2 linked regions of the Lonchura striata genome follow. The protein of the gene in region 1 interacts with the protein of each later gene in a pairwise test. Links are inferred from orthologs where the notes say so. Each region holds a gene or a part of one and is shown in the gene's direction. Other genes may lie near its edges.

What was found. The genes of interacting proteins can lie anywhere in the genome.
Region 2: the proteins of AMOT (region 1) and PTPA interact in binary tests that used the Homo sapiens proteins (3 or more experiments, as listed by UniProt). The two-hybrid records come from large-scale screens. The link is inferred for Lonchura striata from reciprocal best matches to the Homo sapiens genes AMOT and PTPA.

What each region holds. Positions count from the first base shown.
Region 1 is NC_134616.1:17,376,543-17,383,833, forward strand, and holds the start of AMOT (angiomotin), read left to right. Parts: upstream 1-4,284; 5' UTR 4,285-4,400; intron 4,401-4,570; exon of another isoform or gene 4,571-4,682; intron 4,683-7,291. Other genes in the region: PGK1 (phosphoglycerate kinase 1), read left to right, coding at 1,257-1,297.
Region 2 is NC_134624.1:148,578-156,222, reverse strand, and holds the start of PTPA (serine/threonine-protein phosphatase 2A activator), read left to right. Parts: upstream 1-4,640; 5' UTR 4,641-4,740; coding exon 4,741-4,765; intron 4,766-6,786; coding exon 6,787-6,887; intron 6,888-7,645. Other genes in the region: CRAT (carnitine O-acetyltransferase), read right to left, coding at 72-190, 658-921, 2,033-2,062. UniProt on the Homo sapiens protein: PPIases accelerate the folding of proteins. It catalyzes the cis-trans isomerization of proline imidic peptide bonds in oligopeptides. Acts as a regulatory subunit for serine/threonine-protein phosphatase 2A (PP2A).

The sequences.
Region 1 (7,291 bases):
GTTCCTGTTGGGGAAGCCTCATCAGAACAGTCTGGAATTCTTGCCAGAAGTCTCTTCTTCCCGTTTGCAATTCCCTTGGTTTTGGGGAGCCCTCTAGTGCTCACCGACAAGCCTGCACGAGGGTACTTGGAATTCAAAATGGTGAGGATTGAAGGGATTCTTGTAACGAGTTCCATTGTTCTCTAAACGACTTTTCATTTCCTCTGGTAATTTGCCGTTTCCCAGTGTGTGTAAATTATCCAACGCTGTCAACTCCTCTGGAGAGGAGGAACTTCAATAAACTGCCTTGCAGCTGCTGTTTGCAGGAGTAAGATGGGAGACAGAGCTTTTGTTTCTGTTGCCTAGGGAGTGATGGGGAAGGGAAAGAATGCAGATGGCTCGAAGGAAACGCTGTGTATTCAAAAGCACAAACTTGTCTAAGTTTTGGCCCAAAATATGGGTTTGTGTGTGTGATCTTTTAAATGTAGCGGAAGTCTGGCTAATTAGAAAAGCTTCTGAAGATGAAGAAAGGGGGGAAAATCCCTGAAAACTCAGCAAACTAGTGAGTTGTGAACAGTGTTAAAATTCAGTCCTGCTGCACAGCTTGAGCATTAGAAGGTTGTTTTTCTGAGGAAAGGCAAAACCAGAGTGGTGTCTGTTCATTATTAAAGTAGGACAAAACACTGAAAATGCTTTAGAAAATGTTGCACTGTATTAATCTAGGCTCTTGTACTCAAAGATGAGACTATTCTTTGATTCCATCAGTTGGAAAGAGACATGTAAATGTCTCAACCTGAGTGTTTTAGTTGTTTAAAGACCTGGGACTCTTAGGAGACTTTTTCTCTTAATTAATTCTTAAAATTTCTACCACACTCCCTAGAATTCTATTTACATGCCACTAGGGACTTAAGAAAGTATGCAGCAACTGGCTAAATCAAATCAAAAATCTGTTTGCCATCAAACTTAATGGAAAAGAATGTTTGGTGTTTGGATCTGGCCCTAGCAGAGACTTGCACAGAAATGTGCCATTATTGTTAAATGAAGTTGATGGCTGGGCTGTGTTAGGAATCTCTCTGCTGACATCTGAGTGCAGCTGTGCTCCAGATGGATTTATTGTGTGGAGCTGGTCCATGGAACCTCCATGGTCAATGTGAAGCCAAACTCTTCCATTTTCAACCTGTAATTCCTGATTCACTTTTTAAAATTATATCTCTTTAAATGTAAAGTTGTTTGAGCAGAGATCCTTAACCCTGCTGCTGTGTTTTATCTGCCCCCAGGTAAGGTTCTCCCTGGTGTGGATGCCTTGAGCAATGTGTAGAGAGCAGAGCCCCACGCCCGGTCCCGTGCACAGCCCCTGAGATCCAGCACTTCAGCGCTTCCGTATTCCAGCTCTGCCAGAGGCAGATCCCAGAATGTAAACCGGAACGGGACCTTGGAGCAGAGAGAGCAGAGATTTTCCTGACTGCAGTTTACATGATGTGGGTTTGTCCACTGTTACCCCACTTGAATTAACGTAGTGAGTTCAAGCTGTTGTTGTGAATTTAGAGTGTATATATTTATATTTTGCCTTTTCAAAGAGTTTAATCCCTGTTAGATGTATATCTCAGAAAGGAGTGCACTGTCCAGCTTCCATCCTAGAGGCATTTTCATCACTTGACACGGTTCAAAAACCAGAGGGGACTCCAGTTTTTTGGAGGTTGGTTGTAATAGCTGCTGAATAAACATATTTCAAGTGCTCCCAGTTTGTATGTTGTCCTTATTTCAGATTTTTAGAATGGACTTCATTAAAATATCTTCTAGCATCTGGAATCTGAGCTATTTTTCCTATTTGCTCTAATTATAGTATTTCTAAATCTCATTTTGTGGTTGTCCAGTGGTCATTATAAGCACCAAGTCATCATCAAAGTGAACTTCATTGGTAAGGAAGTAAATTGCCACAGATGTGCTGGGTGTTAAAACTTCAATGCCCCTCATAATAAAGTAAGATGAAATTTTGAATGTGCAAGTAAAGTAACAAAAATGCAAGTTGAACTGCTTATCATCTGGAGAACTTGCTTCATAGTGGGCAACTACTATATTTCATGTCAATACAGGGGGAATTTTGAAGACTGAGACAGGTAAAAATGAAGTCCCTGACAATTGCATTGTGCCTTTGTTCCAGTTTGTGGTCCTAAAAGCACTGAAAGTAGAATGGTAAATCTGCACAAACACTTGAGGTTTGTGTGTGCCTTCAGCACGTGGCAGAATTGCAGATGCTGTCAGTGAAGGCCCAGCAAGGTTGTTCCAGTGCCTGGAGCTGTAGGCTGCCCTGTGCTGGCTGCAGGGCCCAAATGTGAGCACAGAACCAAACCTGGGACTTCTCCAGCCTCAGCCTGGCCTTGGCTTTGGCTTATGGCAGCAGTCACAGCTCTGCTCTGAGGAGAGGCACTGCTCCAGCTGAACTGCTGGTGGGTCCAGGAAAAGTGAGTGGTGTGGGGCAGCCATGGCCTGGTCTGATTCCCAGTGAAATCCCAGCAGTGGTGCTCCCAGGAGGTTCTGCACAGCACAAAGTATTAAGGATGAACCACAGAGGGAGTCCATGAGGTACGCAGCAGGTCACAACACAGATTCTACTTTTCAGTTAATTTCTATATATGAAATATTACCCAAACATGTATGTGTTAGACCAGATATGCTGCCAAATTTTACCTGGTCATGGTGGGGGGTGTGAATTAAAATCCAATAATGCTGAAGTGTGGTAAAGCTGCTATGAAATCTATAGCTATTAGAGTTTAAAGCTAAAAGTGACTGTTGCAAACAAAGTAGAAACAATGCAAATTACTGCAGCACTGTGGTCTCCTTCTCCTCTTCCTCCCCTCCTTTGTAACTCTCCCAAGCATTGTCTGATGGCACATGAATGATGCACATTTTTGCTGTGCTGTGCTCATGTTTTCCAGGCAGGGGTGCAGACCTCCGACAGCTGCAGGAACGTGGCAAAGAAAGGAGGGGGCTTGTCAGCCACAAAAAGACCATGGATTTTGGAAATCCAGTACTACAAAAACAAACATTCCACCATGTCTTGTAACAGATCCTCGTTGTCTGGCTCTGGAAAACAAGACCTCGTGACAGCACAGCCCATTTTTGTGTCACTCTTGTGCCCCTGTGCTGCTAGACTCCCATGGAGCAATAACAGACTTTCCCCCCAGCCCTCCTTTCTGGGTGTTTACTGTGGAAGATTGGTGTGTGGCCACTACTTCTGCTGGCTTTTTTCTCTCTCCATCAAAAGCAACAAAACAAAGCTATCTGTAGTTAAATACAGCAAGCAGTAATGATGCTCTGTACACACAGATGTCTCTGCTTAAAACCATTTTTCCACCTGACTTTGGATGTTCCCTGCTTACATCTCTAAAATATCCTTTTGTTTCCACACGGCTTGTTCTGTGCACTGTTGTGTTCAACACAGGAACCATGGCACGGTAGGGCCAGAGAGATACTCAGCTTTAAATAAAAATAAATTGTAAATAAAAATGGATGAAACACATAAACATGAGACCATATGAGCTGAACACTTGATGGCCAGCAGCTGAGTATTTCAGTGACAGATTTTCCAGGGCCTTTCTTTTAAGTTTTGCCTGCTAATACTTCTTTGATAGGTCAGCTTTTACATTTTTCTTGCTTTTATTGAGAGTTTCTGGGGCAAGAAATCATCCCTGTCGGAAACATTGTGGAAGAAAGATTAGAAGCAAAGCTGTTGCAGAAAGCCCATGATGTAATGAAGTTAATACATACAGCAGGTTTAAGGGGCTGATACTAAGAGCCAGGTGAAATTAAAAGTAAAGAACTTAAATCCTTTGGACACACCAACCCCATGGAACACTGCAGACTGGGAAGTGGAAATTGCCTGGTGGGAAAGGCCCTGGGGGTGCTGGCCATCATCAGCTCAACAGGAGCCAGGCGTGCCAGGTGGGCAAGAGGTCAATGGCACCTGGCCCGTCCCAGCCATGGTGTGGCCAGCAGGACCAGGACAGTGACTGTCCCCTGGCTGGGCACTGGTGAGGCCACTCCAGTGCTGGGGGCAGTCTGGGCCTTTCACTTAAGAAAGGACCTGGAGGGGCTGGAGCATGTCCAGGGAAGGGAATGGAGCTGGGAAGGGGCTGGAGCACCAGCAGAGGCTGAGGGAGCTGGGAAGGGGCTCAGCCTGGAGAAAAGGAGGCTCAGGGGGGACCTTGTGGCTCTGAACAGCTCCTGACAGGAGGGTGTGTGTCGTCCTCTGCTCCCAAGCAAGCAGTGATAGAGCATGGGAGGTTCAGGTTGGATATCGGGAAGAATTTCGTCACGGAAAAGGTCGTTAAACATTGGAAAGCGCTGCTCAGGGAGGCGAGCTCCCCATCCCTGGCGCTCTCCAGGGGACGGCCGGACGTGGCACCCAGCGCTCTGACCAGGTGGGGCTCTCACAGGCTGGGCTCGCTGCTCTCAGGGTCTTTCCCAGCCCCGCTGGAGCCGCGATTCCCCCGGGCCGAGGCGGCTGCCCGGCTCCCCCGCCCGTGCGGAACTACAGCTCCCGGCCGGCACCGCTCGCCGGCCCGCCGGGGGATGCCGGGCGCCGTAGTTGCAGCCGCCTGCTGAAAGTTGCCCGCGGCACCGGCGGGGCCCTGGCCGGAGCTGCCCGGCGTGGCGCGGCCGCCATGGATGTGCGGGCGGCCGCGGGGCCCGGCGCCCGCGGGGTAAGGGCGAGGCGCGGTGAGGGCGCGGGAAAGGCCGGCGCTGTCCCCTCGGGCACCGCCCGAACGGGCCCCCGAGGCGGGGCAGGGCTGCCGGGTGTTCCCTCACGGGCATCTCCTCCTTCCCCGGCGCTGTTGGTGGCTGCGGGGAGGGCTGGGCGTGGGGCGGCTCGGGGGCTGCCGGGGCTGTGTGGGTGGGAGCCGGCCCTGCTCCCCTGCCCGGCTCCTTTGTCAGCTCCAGGTGCTGCCGGGGTGTTCTTTGGCCGCAGGCTCTGCCCCAGCCGCCAGGGATGGTCCCTGCTCTGCCTTCTCCTCCCGCCGGCCCCAGCCACCTGCAGGAGCTCGCCCGCACCTGCCCCGGCTCCGAATTTAACAGAAGCGTCTCCAAATCCTCCCGCTTTGATCTTCGAGAGAGAGAATTTGGAGGGTGATAATCCCCAAAGGGTTAAAAGCTTGCATGCGTGCCTTGGTTCGGCCGTTCCGCTGCTGCGGTTATTGTGCATTTCATTCACAGAGTGAGGCAGGGCCATAAATATTCACCGTGACTTCCACCGCATGGTCTGAGCAGCTCAAACCCCATCGTCTCCGTTCCCGGATACTTTTTGGGCAGGGTGAGGGCTGGGAAGCCAAATGGTCACTGTGGAGGAGCTGTGGTGGACACAGGAGTTGGGGTGATGCTGAACACCAGCTGCTGGTCTCGGTGCTGGCACCAGCCAAGGGCTGGCTGCACATGGTGGCACAGCCCAGCACTCCCAAATTTCAGGCTCCTGGGGACTGTTCAGACTTCTCACAACACCCAGGCCCCGACTCTGGCATCCTCACCTGCCCTCTCCCATCATAGCATGCATAAAGAAGATCTCCACTCAGTTTTCAAGTTAAAATTTTCAGCATTGCCTCTGATAAATGATTTTCTCAGCCCCAATGCAGTATAAAATAGAAAATTCCATTTTAGTTAATTTTTCGGTTTTATTCCACTTTCTAATGATAATTTTTCATTAAGCATCTAATCACATCCTAGCATTTCTCATCAGCAAGGCTCAAGGTGCTTTACAAAAGAGGGAAAAATATGATTATTCTGATTATCCTTATTAAGGCTTAGGTTTTGGGCAGCTTCTGCATATAATATAGGCCCATAAATAATTAAAAGTTCAGTCTAAGAAAGGAGAAATCCCCAGTTGTAAACTGAAGTGCCACACTGAAGAAGGCAGTGTGTTACAAGGCATGGCCTTGTAACCTAATCTCCCTGATCAGAACAGTATCCCATTAACCCACAAATCTCCCCTCTCCTGACCTGTCTGCCCCAAGGACAGGTAATTCCATGTGCAGGATCCAAGGGAGGGAGTCTCAGTGACCAAAAGCAGCCTGGAGAGTGTTCTATTGAAGCTCCCTGGTGTTCAAGCAAAGGTCTTGTGTTCACCAAAATATCCAGCCTGAGCTGAGCAGGGTTGGGCATAGAACTGATGGAGTATTTTAGTAGAAATAGGGTTCAGAAATAAGAGCATTGCTCAAACTGGAGTCTAGAAGATATAGAAAAAGGTTATGGCCTGGATCCAGTTTATCTACATCCTAAATAGAATTCTGACCTGAAACTTGCTCTGAGCTCTTTGTCAAGTTTCATCAAAGTTGGACATGGGCTTTCCTGTTTGGGAATTTTGTTTGCTTGTGCTAAGCTGGGTCTGTGTGTCCCGACACCTGCGTGTGCTGCTGAGGGCTGGCTACATCAGGATCACTGTTTATCCACATAATTCAGCAGCAGGACTACGTGGATGAAGTCCTTGTTCTCATTCCAAGTACCTGCTGTCACATCTGAGTTATTCTGTGGGAATGTTTTTGTTCTGATCTGTGGTTACCCAGCGCTCAGCAATGACCTAATTGCAACCTCCTCGTTAGGCAGAGAAATTTCTGAGTTTGGCTTTGCAGTTCACCTTCTCAAGCAAGTAAAATCTCTGTTCTGTAACACCATCTGCCAGCACTTGAGCCCAGCGTTCATGAGGGATCATGAGGCTGATGAGGGCAGTGTGTGTCTCTGCAACAGCTTCTGCCACTGTAGCATTGCAATGTCTAACTCAGAGCAGGTGTACACCACGTAGTCAATGAAAATTCCTGAGTCTGGTGATCTCCAGCAGCTTTCTTACCACTAAAGGACTTGCACCTGTGTTGGTGTGGTGTTGTGCAATTTCCTGGTAAGTTGGTAATGTAAGAGCAATTACAAATAAAGCTGAAAAAGCCCAGACTGCCTTTTTCTCTAAGACTTAATCTTGGCAATGTTGGTGTAATTTTCAAATGTAACTCAAAGGCATGCTGATTGAAATGAGTCCCAAAGTTCCTTAGGGTCTTGGACAGACCTATATATTGATATATATGTGCTGTAATACCTTCATTTGTATCATGTTGACTGTAGGTCAGTCTCATTGCTGGAAGCTCGGAGTAGTGAGGCATGGCTGGAGCTCCCAGTAATGCTGGTGGTACTGGGATGTGCTGCACATGGCAGGGGAGGACCTGCAGAAATGAGGAAGCTGTGAGTGCAGACATTTTGAGCAGCAGAATTTTGAGGGAGGGTGAGGGGGAGAAATAGAGAAGTCAGTAATAAAAACTAAACCATCACCAGGGTT
Region 2 (7,645 bases), on another chromosome or scaffold:
CCCTTTTGAACACAGAAAACTCATCCCACCTATAATCTAAGGGAAGGAGGGAAGGTAGAAAAGGATTTTACCTGAGCTGACCTTGTCGATCCAGAAAATCCTGCTTAGGTAAAACCACACCTGGGCTGGAGTGGACCACAACTGGCAAGCGATATTCCAGATAAGCTGTCTTCAGCCACCAGTCTGAGAGCTGGGATGGAAAAAAGAAAACAGAGAGCTGTTGCTGCTGTCCAACCCAATTCTGGTGGATGGGTCTCAGCATCCTGCCCCCAGTTCTGTCCCACACTTTTCAAACAAAGTGTCTGGGGTTTCTACTATGCAGGTAGAAGGGGAAAGGAGGATTTAAGCAAGGCATGGGTGGCTTTTGGTACAGGGCTTGAGCAGAGGGTCTCCTTCAACCCTCTGCTCAGCTTCTTGGGGCAGTTGTAGGATGATGACAGGTTCAAGCCTTCAGTGACTCCCTGTTCTGCCATAATCTCTCTGCTCACCCAAGTCCTGCTGAGGCCTTTGCACAGCTTGGGGAGATCAGTGGCGAACTGGTCAGGAAGGTGTTGTCATTAAAACACAGATTCCAGTGGATGCAGCCAGGACAGGGAAGAGATGCATATCAGCCCTCCACTCTCCCTAACCTGAGCTGGGGCCAGAGCCCTGACCTACCCAGTTCTCTGTTTTCCTGGCTCTTCTCTCCAGGCCTTTCTGCAGCCTCTCCCCGACGCCCCCCGGCTTGCGGAACTCGGCCACCAGCTCCCGCGTGTGGCTCAGCTCCTCGGGGCTGATGATGGGCTGCAGGGCCAGCAGGTACCGATCCAGTGTCTGCTGCAGTGGAGGCACGGGCAGGGGGGGCAGCGCTTCCTGGTGGAGCTGGAATCTGCCCACAACCTTGTTCAGAGGTGTCTGCTTCAGCAGGCCACAGGGCCTGGCCTGCAAAGCACAGAGCAAATGTCGAGACAAAACATCCCCCAAGTAGCAAAGAACCTGGATCTAGGAGTTGCCATCCCAGCCTTTCTGTGGGCACATGGGTGTCCCAGCCTGGGAGCAGAGCACGGCTGTGCGCTGAAGAAGGGTGCAGGACATCCAGGAAAGCTGTGAAAGAGAAACTCCATCTCCAAGATACCTATTCTTAGCTTCTCAGAGAAAATGCTGCTGGGATAATGACACATCTCCCCACTCTGTGAACACCTTTCAGCTGAGAGTTTCCATACGATAGACAAAGTCAAACCCTTCCATCCCATGGTAAATGGGAAGAAAGTTGTGAAAAAAAAAACCATCTTATGTACTATCAGAAACTTTCATTATTTCTTACAAAATCATAAGGCTAAAAAGCAAAACCCTTGTGCCAAACCAAACTACCCTTCTGGCTTTGAGGAGGCAGAATTTAGCTAAGTTTAGGGTAGGATTAAAATGCCTTTTCTCTGTTGATTCAGGAAACTGTGGGTGATGCCAAAAGGCTCCTGTGATCCAACTGGGTCATGTGGGAGCAGAAGCACAAACCACTTCCCTGGCTGGAGAAATATAACCGAGCAAACCCAAGTGCTCACCAGGAAATTAACTCACCAGTTTTCCCCAAAAAGAATAACAACATCCTTTTGGATGAACGGGGTTGGACATTCTTCAGCTTGAAGATGTTTCAGTAGTACTCAAGGTTTCCAGTTCCCTCTGCACCTCCCTCTCCCGTGGATCTACTGAATCAGACACTCCTGCAGGACTCTGGACTTTGCATTGTCAGTGCACTGAGAATGCAAAGCCACTGAGAACATTCCCTTTGCCTTCCAAAGCGGTGAGAAAATAGCTGTCCCCACACCTCCTCCCAGCAGTTAAGGACTGAGAAGAAACAGCTCAATCTACAAGATGACAAAGGCCCGCCAGAAACTGCCCTGTTTTTGAGCAGCTGGGTCTTTGTGGGACCTGAGAAGAGCTGTGAGACTGAGGTTTGGAAAAAAACAGCAGGGGGAGGAATTACTGAAGCATAAAAGAAGAATGGGACTGCGAGGAAAAGAAAGGTGTTGATCACAGCAGCTTGGGCATACTGTACCTTCTCTGCTTGCTTCTGCTTCCTATCCATGGCTGGTAGGACAGAAAAGGCCGTAAAGCTCTCCCTCGGCCTCTCTTGGGTCTCCTCTTCCACCTGACAATGTGCTGCCCATGCAGGGCGTCACCTCATTAGCCAACTACCACATGACTGCTCTGATCAGAGGGCTCAAGGGCTGGCACAGCCGCAGGGGACAGGAATTATCAGATCACTGGATTTCGACAACTGCCCTGAAGGTGCTCCTCTGGGCAGCTGATCAATACCTGGCTAGAGCCCCTCTCTGACCAAGCTCTGGGCTCCAGCTAGGGCAGAAGTTGGGATGCTGTTCCTTCACCCTTTGTCTGGACCCCGAAACTACTGTGGCTGTTGGGAGAGATACCTGGACATAATGCAGGAGAGACCTCAGTTTATGTCCTGGAGGTGGCACCATGGGCAGTACCCCAACTGCCCTCACTGCCCATGATATGTGGTCATTATTGCAAGCTGAGACTTCGGGGAGTTCTGAGTTGTCAACTCAAAAAAGCCCCAAAAAATATCTCTACAGCAGGGCAATGAGAATGCCATGCAGTCACAAGGAATATCAACACCTCCTTCGTGTCTGTCTAATGAATTGAGGGGCAGACAAGCACGGCTTGCATAGCTTGGATAGAGTATGATGATCCCAAACAAACAGCTGATTTTCCATGGGGTAACAATGAAAATCCCAAAACAAACTCATGGAAGCCACTGTATGTTAAAATGTGGAATGCATTTGTTATCTTCCCTCTTTTCTGTCCCCTGTTTGTTTGGTTTGGGGTTAAATTCAAAGATTTGGTGGGAGAAGGAACAGTGATCAGAGCTGAGGGGGCAGCTGGCAGCAAACAGAGGGAACAGCCCAACACTCCCCACAAGCAGCAGGAAAACGAACACCAGTGGAGCAGAGTGTGCAGACAGGGCCAGCCTCTGGGCTGGCATCACTGCTGAGCCATGTTCCAACACAGCAAAGAACCTTTTCCAGAGCCTGCAAAGCTGGTGGGAAAGGAAATCCACCTGCTGGGGGGCAGAAGGAATTTCCTAGCTGATTCTTAGCACAGCCACAGAATTGAGTAGCAGGATGTCAGAGGTTTGTCTTTTATTTTTAAATTACAATCTGGAGTGCCCCTTAAGCCCAGAGACAACTGGTCTTGCCCAGTCCCTCAGTAACTGTGAGTGGATCCACACTGTAGCTGCTGTTCTGCTGCTCTGTCTCCTCCTCTCAGGACCCAGAAGAGACTGCAAAGAGCAGCTCCCAAGCCTGGCAGGGGTCTGACAGCTCTGCTGTGTGTGCAGCAGGATGGGTACGGTGGGAACCACCGATGCCATCTGCCTGGGCTTCCCTGGCCCCTCCATGTCCAGCAGCCACCTTCCTGCTGTCCAGCCCCAACTGGACAGCTCAGTACAAGACAAGGCACTGTGGAGAGGGTCCAGAGGAGGACATAAAGATAATTAAGGGACTTGAGTATCTCTTATGTGAGGCGAGTGAGAGACTGTGAGTTCATCCTGTTTAATCTGATGAAGAGGAGGCTGACAGGGAATCTGAACAATCCATATAAATATCATCGAGGTGGGCGTCAAGAGGGTGGTGCCAGACTCTCTTCAGTGGTGTGCAGTGACAGGAGGGGAAGTATAAACTAAAACACAAGAAGTCTGCCCTCAACATGAGGAGTAAGTTTTTTACACTGAGGATGGCAGAGCACCGTGCCCAGCGATGGTGTGGAGTTTGTCTCGTTTGGAACGTCTCTCTCTGGAGGCATTCCAAACCCACCTGGACACGTTCCTGGGTCATCTGCCCCAGGTGACCCTGCGTTGGCAGGGGCGCTGGACAGGGTAATGGGACAGGGCAATGTCCAGAGAACCCTGACAGTTCTGGGGCTGTCATCTCCGTCCCGGACAGCTCCACCGCGCACGCTGCCGCCAGGCACGGGCGGAACCCAGCGGGCCTGGGGACTGACTTCGGCAGGTCCCTGCCCGCTCCCCGCACGGCCCTGGCCGGGACCCGGGCCTGTGCTCCGGGCTGGGGCCGGACCGGGCAGCGGCACCGCCGAGACCGCCAGCGCTGCCCCGCTAAAGGCCCCGCGCGGAGCCGGGCTCGCCGCCCGCCCGCTCTCGACCCTGCCCGATGTAGCGACCCTCGACCGCCACCTCGCTCCCCGTCTCCGGCCGGTGCTGGCGGAGCCGCCCCTCCCGGTGTCGCTCTTACCGCAGCCCTGGCCACCAAGGCGAGCATGGCCGCGCTCCCCGGGCCCACCGCAAGGACAGCCCGGCCGCCGCCGCCGCCGCTCCGGGGCGGGGCCGCCCCGCCGCCATCTTGGAGTGGGGCGAATCCCGCGTGGCCATCTTTGGGAAAGGCAGAGTGATGCTTTGAGCGGAAGGAGCGCCGCGGCCGGCGGCGGAGCCGTGCCGCGCCCCCTTTCTCCGCTGCCTTCTCCCAGAGATGGTGAGGGCGGTCCTGTCTCTCTCCCCTCCGCTGCCCTCCGCGCACACCGGTCCCTCTCCGGTGTGGGCAGGGAGGGACGCGCCCTACACAAACATGGCGGCGTGAGCACGACGGTGGCCGGCAGGGGCCGCTCAGCCGTGAGACGGCCCCAGGAACGACAGGGCCGGGCGGCGTGCCCTGCTCAAAGATGGCCGCCGGCGGCTTCGGCGTGCGCGGAGGTGGGAGGTGAGGGGCGGCCGGGCCGGGCTGCGGGAAGATGGCAGAGAGCGAGCGGCGGACAGGTGAGGGGCGGCCAGGGGGGCTCTGGGAACCCTCAGGGCCTCTCAGGGGCGTGCTCGGGGCCGGGGAGCGCGGTACAGGGCCCCACGCTCCGGGGGTGCTGGGCCGAGGGCGCCGGGCCCGCGTTGCGGGGGGCGGTGGCAGCAGCGCCCGGCCCAGGGAGGGGAGGGAGGGGGATTTGCTGAGGGTGTGAAGGACCTGCGGCCTCCGAGTCTTGGCACCACCCCGGGGCGAGGTTGGTGGTCGGGGCTGAGCCTCTGGATCGGGGATCCCTGTGCCCCCAGCCCGGTTTTGTGACTGGTTCTCGTGCAAAGCCTTTGACTCCCCCTCCTCACACCGTGACACGAGCCTGATAGTGCCCCCTCAGTCCAAAGTGCTTCTTGTCGTAAAGCTGACCCGCCAGGCTCCCGTCTCCATCACACTAACAGGCTTGGACTCTGTGTATTCATCCCAGAATGCTGTAACCCCTGCAGCCCTCACTGTTTCCTTCCCGGAGTATTCCTGGTCTCCTCACCAAGAGGAATTGCACAAAGTTTGGGTCAGAAGCAGTGATGGCTGAGAAACAAAGAGAGGAAAGCAGTTCTGTTAATGGCAAACACCCACATCAGGACACTGCCCTGGGATTTATGTGTCACCTGTACTGATGAACACATCAGGGGTTTGCCTTTTCACTTCATTGCTTGGGAGGTTTTCATTGTTTTCATGTTATAAACTCTTAAGAGCAGAGCTCCATTGGTGTGGTGCCAGTTGCTGTGAGTTGTGTGCTGAAAAGAAGAGATACACACGTCTTTAATTTAAATTCATCACACGTTGTTCCTCTCATCCTCCTACCTGGAAGTTTTGCTGTAAGTTCTGCAGCAATGAACTGAGCATTGCAATATTCAGGGCAGGAGATGAGGCTGAATTTGTTCATGGCATGGGGAATGTGAAAGGCAGAGTCAAATGACTGTCAAAGGTTGTATGACAAATCTACAGCGGACTCTGTGTTGTTCCTGGGACTTTGGTTTCCTTTTAATCTGATCTGCCTGCTAGAGAGCATTGTGGAAAAGGCTGCCACTGCTTCTGGGTGGTGTTTTCTATGTAAATGCAGCTGATGATATTTTAAGGAGTTGGTGTTTGGTGGTGTTTGTTAGGGAGACAGTGCCTGTACTGGCTGGGCTGTGGACAGCAGTTGCTGGAGTGTTTCAGGGCAGCTGGTGCTGCATAAGTGTCTCCAGATTTTCTGAGTTGAAAAAGGTGAACTGAGTGACTCTGACAGAATTAATAAATTGACATTAGTGCCCAGGTTCCTTGACAGTGCCCTCTGCATTTCCTCTTCCTATTAAAAGTTGCACTTTCAGGAGCATAATACAAATTACTTTAAATCTCCTGGAACTTTTCTGGTTCTGCAGGTTGGGCCCTGGGTTTGGATGCTGCAGAAAAGAGCCCCTCTAATTCATTAGCAACTCACATTTACATTAAATATTGCATCTTAGGCTCTGAAAGGGCTTTGAAATTAAATGATCTTCACAGCTTTCACCTGGAAGAGGCTGTGTCCCACCATCCCCCAAGTCCAGGTGCTACATGGACCAGAGCTGTGGTTCTGGGCTGCATTTATTGCACTGCTCCAGCTTGTCCATGCAGGAATTATCCTTTCTAGAGGAATGAAGGTCAGGCTTAACACTTAAAAACAAGGCAGGGTTAGTTTGAAGGAGAGTTCAGTGTTTCGGCGTGACCTGAGGCTTGCACTAGACAGAAATAATTAAACTGGCTAGATGTTGCTTTTGTTATCTCCTGCACTATTCTCTGTCTGAATAGAAAATGCATCTTTAACAATAAAAACAGACATAATGCTTCTGTCTGAAGGCTTGCAGAGTCCTTAGGAGGATATTGGTGAGGAGGACTTGGTGAGATTACAGCCCAGCTGGGATGGATTTGTGTGCTTTGTATCTCCTGTGAAATAAAGCTCATTACTAAGAAAGAAAAATAGAGGACTTCTCCTTCCCCAGTGCTGCTGTTTTACCTCTTTTTTTGCATCTCCCAGGCGCCTCTGAGGAGGTGCCTCCTCCTGTCCAGCAATGCTTCATGGTCCCCAAGAAGGAGATAAATGTGGTTTCTGACATGGCCAAGTGGAAGCGATCTCAGGTAAGACTCTGGGGACAGGAAATGCTGGGAAATGCTGCTGATCTTTTGGTGGCAGCCAGGTCTGGTCTGGGAACAGCCAGGGAGTAAAGGAGGCTTGGGCAGAGAATGGGAAATAATTGAAATTTGTGTTTTCAAGAAGAGTTGGTGCTGGTTTGCAGGAAAATTACTTGGCAGTAATGATTACTGCTCCCTCCCAACGAGCTGGATGAGAAGCTGGTGACTGTTTCATCCTGCCTGGCCTGTACTTTATAACCAAACTGGATTTACCCAGGCCTGTCTGAGCTCACCTTAAACATGGTTCTGCTGCCTGGCCCTGGTAGCACCAGCCTGGGTTGGTTCCTTCCCACTGTGCTGTTCTGGAAAGGACTCTAGAGCTGAGCCCTTCAATTTCCTGGATAATTTTTGTTTACAGCCTGTGTGGAGCTGGTGGAACAAGCAGGTTCTCCCCTCTCTGCCTTTGAGGGATTGGGGTGTTGGCCCAGACTTGTCCCTCCTCTTAGGAGCAAATTCTTGCTTGATGACTGATGTGATCTGTCTTGAGAGAAACTGAGGTTATAGCCAGGTGTCAAGCAAACCTCTGGGTGCAGCTTCCAATTTAAGTCTCCTGGGTTTAGGGACTTGATTTTGAGGCAGAGAGGGAGAAGTGGCAGTGTGCTGCTGTGGAGCTGCACTGGAGATGATGCTTCCAAAGCAGCAAATCTAAAGAGAGGAGGAGTGAGGAGCTTGGGCTGTCTCCCTCTTCCCTTGCATGAGCATGG